2 linked regions of the Oryctolagus cuniculus genome follow. The protein of the gene in region 2 purifies or fractionates together with the protein of the main gene of each other region. This does not show direct contact. Links are inferred from orthologs where the notes say so. Each region holds a gene or a part of one and is shown on either strand. Other genes may lie near its edges.

Evidence for each region.
Region 1: the proteins of RAB5B (region 2) and GDI1 purify together in Homo sapiens (affinity purification with mass spectrometry; 3 studies listed by BioGRID and IntAct, counting the BioPlex papers as one, with this or other methods). This does not show direct contact. The link is inferred for Oryctolagus cuniculus from reciprocal best matches to the Homo sapiens genes RAB5B and GDI1.

What each region holds. Positions count from the first base shown.
Region 1 is NC_091453.1:132,666,767-132,671,132, reverse strand, and holds the start of GDI1 (rab GDP dissociation inhibitor alpha), read right to left. Parts: upstream 2,992-4,366; coding exon 2,947-2,991; intron 1,736-2,946; coding exon 1,628-1,735; intron 1,494-1,627; coding exon 1,394-1,493; intron 1,248-1,393; coding exon 1,113-1,247; intron 640-1,112; coding exon 441-639; intron 205-440; coding exon 73-204; intron 1-72. UniProt on the Homo sapiens protein: Regulates the GDP/GTP exchange reaction of most Rab proteins by inhibiting the dissociation of GDP from them, and the subsequent binding of GTP to them. Promotes the dissociation of GDP-bound Rab proteins from the membrane and inhibits their activation.
Region 2 is NC_091442.1:58,763,238-58,767,712, forward strand, and holds the start of RAB5B (ras-related protein Rab-5B), read left to right. Parts: upstream 1-1,425; 5' UTR 1,426-1,439; coding exon 1,440-1,564; exon of another isoform or gene 1,565-1,663; intron 1,664-1,727; exon of another isoform or gene 1,728-1,812; intron 1,813-2,030; exon of another isoform or gene 2,031-2,126; intron 2,127-3,679; exon of another isoform or gene 3,680-3,854; intron 3,855-4,475. UniProt on the Homo sapiens protein: The small GTPases Rab are key regulators of intracellular membrane trafficking, from the formation of transport vesicles to their fusion with membranes.

The sequences.
Region 1 (4,366 bases), on a different chromosome or scaffold from region 2:
CCAAGGGAGGCATTGCTATTGTTGCTCTCAGTCCCACTTAGTCATCCCAACTACACAAAGCCACGTTCTCACCTTGCAAAGCCCTGGGGCAGCTCGCCCAGGCCGTAGAGTGGGTATAAGTATGGGCTCTTGCCATACCGGGCCAGGGACTCACTGTACAACTTGATACGGTTAATGGTCTCCAGACAGGGCTGGTCCAGGTAGCTGGGGGGACAGAGGTCAGGGAAGATGCTCCAACAGGCTCCCTGGCTCACCCCACCACCCCGAATGGCCCAGGGGAGCCGGGGGGTCAAGTGCAGGGGAGGGGCGGACAGGCAACAGGGGAGCCTATGGCTGAGTACGAGAAATGTGCAGGGTAGGCAGAGGGAGCAGTGGGCAGGTGTTGGGGAGGCAGGGTAAAGGCCAGGCAAGGGGACCGCGCCACACCAGCTTCCCCTCACTCATCAGTGCGGTAGAGTGCCAGCGCGTGGCCAGTGAAATCAATGACATCCTGGCCCAGGTCAAACTTCCGGTATACGTCACGCATGCTGGTAGTCTGGGGATCGACGCCCTCAAAGGTCTTGGGGTCATTCTCATCAAAGTTTGCCACAAACACCAGGAACTTGCGGAAGCGCCGTTTCTCAAACATGCCCATCAGATCTGAAGAAGGCGGCAAGGGGGGACCCTTTGCACTAGAATACAAAATTCTCCTTCCCGCCCCCCCCCAACCCCACCCCCGTGGGCTGGCCGAGAAAGCTGGCATCCCGGCTCCCAGTGAGGTCTGTCACATGACCTTAGCGTAATCTACCTGTCTCGGCCTCGGTTTCCCCACCCATGTGAAGAGGGGGTTGGGCCGGGCACACTCTGAAGGCCCTCTTGGCTCCGACACTTAGAGATGTTCCAGGGCTCAAGCGGAGCCCCTGTCACAGGCTTCCGAAAAGGAGCACCCTCCACTCCTCTCTGCACGCGGATCGCCCTGCTAGCAAGCCGCTGTGAGGTGAGGCACATGGCAGCAGCAGGAACAGAGCAAGGGCCATCTGCTACCTCACAGGGGATGCAGCCTCGGGCGTACAGTGGCCGGCTCCCGGTGTCTACCTTGCCACCCGCCCTGAGGTCGGGAGACCCACACTCACTGGAAGCCAAGGCCTCGGTCTCAGTGGATGGCACTTTGTAGATCTTGCCGCCTTTGTAGACAAAGCTGCCCTCCACCACCTTGAAGTCCAGGTAGCGAGTCACCTCCGTATACAGGAGCATCTTTACCAGCTGCCCTGTGGTGGGGACAACATCAGCACAGCTCCCTGCAGGAGCTCTGGCCAGCCTGGCGGGCCCTTGTCTGGAGCCCAACCCCCTCCGGTCCTTCCCAGTCACCACCGCGCCCCTAGGAAAACCGCAGCAGCTCCTCCATCTCCCTCACCATTGGCCATGAGGAATTTGGGGATCAGGTCAACGTTCCAGTCTCGGCCCCGGCCCATCGACTCAGGGGGCCCCTCCAGCAGCTGAAAACGCTTATATAACTGTAAGCAGGAGGGGGAGAGAGAGAGACACCTCAAGGACTGGCCCTCCCTCTCCCTGCCACCCGCTGCTGCTACACTATGGCTCCAGTGAGAGGTTTCCAAGGGCCCGGCCTGGGCCAGGCTGGCAGCCTTACCTCTTCCAGGGGAGTGATGGAGGAGCTCTCGCCCCCATAGTAGGGGTTCCGGTCCATGTGCAGCACCTTCTTCCCGTTCACAGACATGATACCAGACAGGATGCACTCCTAGGGGTGTGAGGACAGCCGGTGCGCTCCCACCTGCCCACTTCGCACCAGCAGCCCTGATCTGTTCTCCTCCCCAAGCCTGCCACAATGGACAGCTCCTTCCACGCCCCCAGCCTCCGCCGCCGCCGCCTTGCCTAACACTGGTGGCGATGGCTACATCCGCCCGTCTCCTTTTTTACCCTGCTAAGCAGAGGTGAACCAGAGAGAAATAATGAAGGAGTCGGGGGAGACAGAGTGTCCAGCAGACACAAGGACAGTCTCATGGCACCGACTGCCAAGAAAGTCCTCTATCAGTGCAGAGCCGCACAATCCGGCAGATAAGACACAATGAGGCACACAGCGGACCTGGCCAGGCCGCAGAGGGCGCCCAAAAGGGAAGTGAAGAAAGGCACTTGGACTCTCAGGCCCCACCCTCGGCTGCTCCGTCGTCAAAGGCCAGGAGCCCCTGACCCTAAGCCTTCCCCACCTGGGCTCAGGAGGGGCATCTGGGCCTGGCCTGAGGGAAATGTGTCTCTCAGGGGAGCGGGTGAACACGCTGTGGGGGAAGGGGGACGATGAACATTCTCCCTAGTCACTGTCACCAGCCCAAGGACAAAGGCTGCAGATATTGCTCAGCCTCAGGTCTCCATGGGAAACCAGGGTGGGGGAGCGGGAATGTGGTCACTGCCCTCGCTGTTAGTTATTCTGGAACATTCCCTGGCTCTTCTGATCCCAGAAGCAGCCAGGAACACAGGACGAGGCCCCAACCTGGCAAGGCCCCCTAACCCCAGGTCCTCGTACTTCACCCCTACTAAGATTAGTATAAGTTGGGGGGGCACAATACTAGGAAGGTGATGGGTGGGGGCGATGGGTGGGGACTGGATGGGAGGGACTGGGGGGCATCAGGCCGAGTGGGGGATACGTTTTCCGGCCCAGCAGGGCAGGGTAGGGAAGATGGGAGAGGCCGGGAGTCGGCACCAGGGAGTCAAGGGAGCAGCCAGGAGACCCCGCTTCGAGGTCATGGCAGCGAGCAGAGAAGACGTCGCGAGGCCAAGGGGGCTGGGGAGTGGGGAAAGAGAAGGCAGTGGGGTGGGTACGGGGCTGGCGTTTCGGGGACCCAAGGGCAGAGGATAGGAATGATGGGAGGATGGGTTTGGCGGCCAGCGGCTGCATCATCGCAGGGATTCGGGAAGGCACGAAGCGGAGGCGCAGGCGCCCGAGGCCACACTTACGGTGAGGCCGGTCCCCAGCACGATCACATCGTATTCCTCGTCCATGGTCAGGCCTTGGTACCAGCGCCCGCTCGGCTCCTCCTCCCGTTTCACCACAGCAGCAGCCGCCGCCGCCGCCGCCGCCGCACTGGACCAAAGATGGCGGCACTTCGAACGCCGCCTGACCCCTCCGCCGCGTCAAAAAGTCCCAACACTTCCCCAGGCCCCACCACGCCTAGCAGTGATCACCGCTTCCCTGGCTTGCCTCCTAAGAGGGTTGCCGGTACTCGGGCCCTAGCACCAGTGCGGCTCTGCCGGCGTCGCCGTTTGCCAAGGACCCAGAGGAAGCTAGGCGGGGCGGTCCGATGACCGGTACTGCGGTCCGAGAGGGATCCGTGCGCGGGAGCCGCGCGCGCCCCGCCCCGCCCCGCCCCCCGGGAGGCTCCGCGCGGCCCCGCGGGCCGGGCACGCGCTGCTGCAGCAGCCGGGGGCGGCCCCCTCACGACGCTGAAGCTGCCATTGTCGCGGCGACCGCTGTCCCGACCACTCCTTCCCTACCTTAACCGGTTAGGGGCCCAGTTTGCTAAAAGAGTCCCTGGCGGGCCCTGGCTCCTGGATTTTGGCCTGGCTGGGATACATCTAGGGCCACCTCCCCCCCTCCCCGCACCCGCCCGCCCTCCTGCCCTCCTCCCATCCCTCAGTCCAACGCTTTCCTCATTTCTAGTCCAGAAACGAATGACAAGAGGCCCAACGTGTGGCGACCCATCTTTATTTTATTAGGAAGGAGACAATGGAGCATGCCAGGCTCCTGCCAGGCGCTCCTGAAACACAGTGGTCACGCCCAGCCCACCTGTCATGGAGGTTCCTTCCTCCTGAAGTCACAGAAATAAACCCCAGCACAGTGTTGATTGTTAACACAACATCACCAGGATACAACAACGACAGCCAAGCGGGACACAGAAGTGGTCACTTCCACATTCTGCCAACCTCGGGCAACCTGAAGCTCTTGGCTGCTGTAGGGAGCCCCATAAAGCTGGGGGAGGGAGAACTTGCTACACAAAAGCGCTATGTACAGCCAGAGCTTATGGTAGATAGAGAAGAATAAATAAGGGGAGGAGAAAGGGGACCCTAGAACTAATGCCCCTGTGCTTTCCCATGGCTGACCCGGGAGACAGGCCTAAAATCTATGCAGAATATCTACACCTTGTCAGGAGGGCTGGGAGAAGCCTCGGGGAAGCCCCTCCGCAGGCTGATGAGGGAGTGAGACAGGCTGAGGGGAGCTGGGGGTTCATGCTATGGTAGCAAGAGGGGGTCCTTGGGTGCCATGTACCATAAGGTGGGAAAATGACAACCTGGACACCATCACAACCACAACCCCTCCCCCCTGGCACGGGGTCACACGATCTGGGTCAGAGAGATGGCAGGGCCCTTGTGGTCATCA
Region 2 (4,475 bases):
AGGAAGTTAGGGTTTAGACATCCTTTTGAGAATGCTGACACTTCCAGGGATGACATTGGGAAAATATATTTCTTTAAAAGAAGGATGAACAATTATATTTATATTTCAGGTTATGGTTTTTAAACAGGAGCGGGTGGATTTTTTGCCATGTGCACCTTGGGGTTTTGTAATGGAAATGTTAAAAATGTTTTCCTTTTTTTATCATTCTGGCTCTTTTTCTTCCACCTCTTGAACTTGAGTGCCCTTACTATTAACGTTATTTGTAATTTAGTTTGTAATTCATTAAAAAAAAAAAGTTCCTAGTTTTGTAGTTATTTTGTTCCTCCTATTATTCACGGGAAGAATGGTGTGAGAGAGACCAGGCAGGCGAAATTGTGGTGACTGGTTTTAGGCCTCTCTAGGCAGGGATACCCTCTCACTCTGTTTTGGTCTCTAAGATGCACTTGGAATTGGGATAGGACCCAGGGTGAGTAACGTGGGTATTAGACCCATTTTACAGCCAGGGAAGCTGAGGCCCTGTCATTTCCTCCTTCACTTTCCCCACACAGCAAGTCCTACCTCCCCCCACCCCACCACCCCCACACACACAGCGACCATTCCAGAATCTGCAGTAGGGTTGGAAGTAGGTTCCAGAAGAATCCATCCACCTGTACACCGCCTTTCCCAGTAAGCCGCGTTGATTTTCCTTTCTGTTGCTTATCACACACGGCAGAGTTTCTGAAGATTATCTTATTCACATTTACATACAATTCAAAAAATACCCACTGAGTATAGAAAATTACTACCACGGCGTCTCCAGCTACTGCTTTTTGTAGTTGCCATTGTCTCCATCAAAAAAACATCTCAGATCGCCCGCAGGCCACGCCGAAAACGCACGTCCTCTGAACCCTCGCTAAAAGGAAGAGCGCTGAGGCGCGTCTCTCAAATTCCCAGGCGCCGGGTCCCCTCAGAGGTATTTCCCTTTACGCCCGCGAATTTGTCATAGAGGGCGGGGCCCCGAGTCAGCCCCCGCCAAATCCAGGGGGAGGAGCGAAGGTCAGTAACGGCCTCCCTCAGGCTTCCTTCAACCCCGCCTTGCCTGCCAGTCAAGTCCCGAATTTCCGCAGCACTGGCTAAAGTCTCACTTGGACCCGCCTCCATCACTCACCTGATTAGATGTTTATGAGTCAAAAGGCGGGGGTCATGGGGTGTCGAGGTTTTATTGGCTGGTACGCACGTCTATCAACGACGTACCGCCCCCTGTCTCCGGGAGCTCGCTCTTTAACGGCCCATCACCTCGTCCGTCTTCCAGGTTTCTCTCCCTGTATTGGCTTATGACCCTGCCTGTCCAGTCCCTTGCTCGTACTCGTTGGCGACAACACCCCAAGAGTCCCGCCTTTCTCCAGAGGATTGGCGGATGAGTGCACATACAGCCCACCCTCGATGGTAGGCGGGTAATCATGCTATTGGCTGGGGCCCCCGCCCCAGGGCGAGGAGGAGGAGGAGGGGCAGGAGGTTTGGTTGAGTTGCAGCTGTTTGTCTGTTCGACACAGGCTTGGGCCCGACGGGGGAGACGGAGCCCCAGGTACCGAGCTGATGGAGCCCACAAGGGCAGAGGCAGAGGCGCCGGGAGATGAGAGCGGCCTGGCCTGAGAGCGCAGTCGGGTCTGGGCCTAGGCGAGGGGTTAGAGAGTGGCCCAGTGGAGAGGGGAGAAGGGGGCCGGGCCCCGGCAGGCCTAGTGGGGGCGCTGAGGAGGGGACCGGGCGGGCTGGGAGGCTGAAGTTGGGGAGGCGGCTGGATCCCGGCGGCCGGGAGCCGGAGGCCGTGCGAGGGTAGGGGAAGGCCTCATTACTCATGGAGAGGGAGGAGCTGGGGAAAGGGACGGGGCAGCGGGTGAGGTAAGCCCATTTGCCTGGCGGTGAGAAGGGGTCAGAGCTGACGCCCGGGCCCCGGGGGTAGCCGGGGCCGGGTCTCTTGGAGGGCTGTCTTAACTGGGAGGGCCCGAGAAGGGCTCTTAGGTTGGCTAAGAGGCATTCTTTTTGAGGGGAAGTGGCTGCCGTGAAGAGACTGGGGGTGCTGTGATGTGAAGCCGAGAGGATTTCTGTTCAGGGAGACGAGGGCAGCTCTGCTCGTCTGGAAGACTGAGGTAGTTGAGGGCACGGAAGCAGGGCCTGGTGTCCCTTGCCGGGGCTTCTGGGGCTGTGCTGCAGGGTGGGCTGGACGCTGAGCCTCGGGAGAACCCGTTCTTTTGTTCCCCTTAGCGTCTCGCTGGGGCAGTGGGAAGGTTTTTGATAGTCCCAGGGTAGGGAACGGAGAAAGAAGTGAGTTTACTTTTTTCCCCATGACTGTTGACTGCTCCTGGTTCAGCCCCTGCACTTTCTCTCTGGGTCTGGTCTTAGACTGCAGTTCTTCTCTTCCCTACCACGGATTCCTGTCTGGCGAAAGAAGTTGGTAACTTGGCGATGTTTTGTTCAGTTCTTTCCCACTTAATAATGTGGTCTTCAGCCTAGAAATGGGCAATGATCTCATTATTTACCCAGAAAGGAACTTAGGGATCCCTGGCCATCAAGAGATAGTCTGAGGGTAGTTGGTGGAAACTTTTGTGGGACTTAGACTTGGGGCGTTCCTGGTCAGGTACTGAAGTTAACCAGGCCTGGAATTAAGAGGTGATACCAGTGAGGAAGAGATTTGGAGAAGGAGAAATTCCATTGCAGAAGGTTGGCATCACCACCTTGTTCTTTGTCCACTTCCTCAGGAGCCCAGGTTTCTGTGCTATTAGGAAGTTGAGTCGAACCATCAGGTATTTGAGGAATGGAGGAATAGAGAAAAAAGAAGGCAGAGGATTGGAATCCTGTTCTCTCCATTTTTAATGGTCTGCTGACCTAGTCCCTGATAAATGGGAGCCTATTTGATTTTCCCTGGCTGTACTTCCTCCTTTTTCCCTTCTATACTGATGTATTTTATCAATGCATTCCTGAGTTACAAAATATCCACATGTTTTTAAGTACTTTTACTTGTGCTGTACAGAAGTACACAGTGCAAGTCCTCCTTCACATACCTCCTGTTTGACTCAGGGAGGTCGAGACCAGACTGATCTAACTGGGGGATGTGCCATCAAAAGCAATTCTGTTTTTGTGTTATCAGACTGTCATCTGTCATTTCTTTACCTTTTCGGTGTTAGTCTGTTATTCTTTCACTGGCCATTTTATTTTCCACCAAATTCAGACAACCAAGGGAGGGGTGTGTTTTAGGTTATCGTTTGTTTCCTGCAGTACACACACACATCCCAGTTGTGCACTAGAGACCCTAAGAAATGTTCAGGTAGAGGGAGAAAATTTTTTTCTGTTTTATCGGCAAGAAAGAAACATTAAGGTGAATCAGACCATTTTGTCTAGGATAATTATTGGCATGTCTGAAAGTGAAGAATTTAAGACTTCTGTCTTCTGGTTCATGGTCTCTGCATATTCACATCACTTAACCATCCATTCCTTATCCTGGAAAATGAGAATGATTTTCCTAAGAGGCCCCTTGTATCTCTCTTTCTAAAGGGATCTGAGAAGCTTCCAAGTTTCTCTAGACTTGAAATTGGTTTTCTTCTAAATCGGAGTTGAGTGTATGGCTAGGGCATTTCTTCCTCTCTTCTCCCCTCCCCTCCTATGTCTTTAATGTCTGTTTATTTTCCTCTGCTTGACAGAGCAACAGAGAAAAAGAAATTGATCTGCTGGTTTACTCCCCCAAATGCACATAACAGGCAGAGCTAGGCCAGGCTGCCTGGAGCCTGGAACTCCATCCTGGCCTCCCACCTGGGTGGCAGAGCCCCCAAGCACTTGGGCCGTCATCTTCTGCCTCTCAGGATACAGTAGCAGGAAGTTGGGTAAGAAATTGAATAGCAGAGCTTGAATGGGGGACTCTGATATGGGATGCAGGTGTTCCAAGTGCAGCTTAACCTGCTGTGCCCCAAAGCCACCCCATAGCTAGAGCATTTCATACTACTACCCTGTTACTTTAATTTGTCCTTACTGGCTTTATAGAATCCTTCTAATATGTCCTGCCTTTACATTGCCCATCAGAAATGATGCTTATTGTTCCCTATTTAAAGAACTTTTCTCACCTGCCAAGCCAGTTCTTGAGAAAATTGTATAGCGGAATGTATGTTTTAACCCTGTCCATTCTGCCATTTTCTGAACCCTCATCATATCCCATCTCCTCATCATATCCTGTTTCTGCTCTATGTTCCTTTGTGTTTTTTTTTATCTACTTTACCCTTCATCAAAACTTACCTTCATAGAAGAATCTGGAATTGTTCCGTATTAAAGTGTAAGTAACACACAGTCATTTAAAGTATTGAGTCTTTCAAGGACTTGTGCACCTTAAGAGGGAGCTACGGAGTGGAATTATCAATGTGAATTTCAAACATGGACCTGGAGTTGCAAGACTATATTTGGAGAAGAGGGCTCTTCTGTTGTCCCATGTCATCATAACCTTGTATCATCTA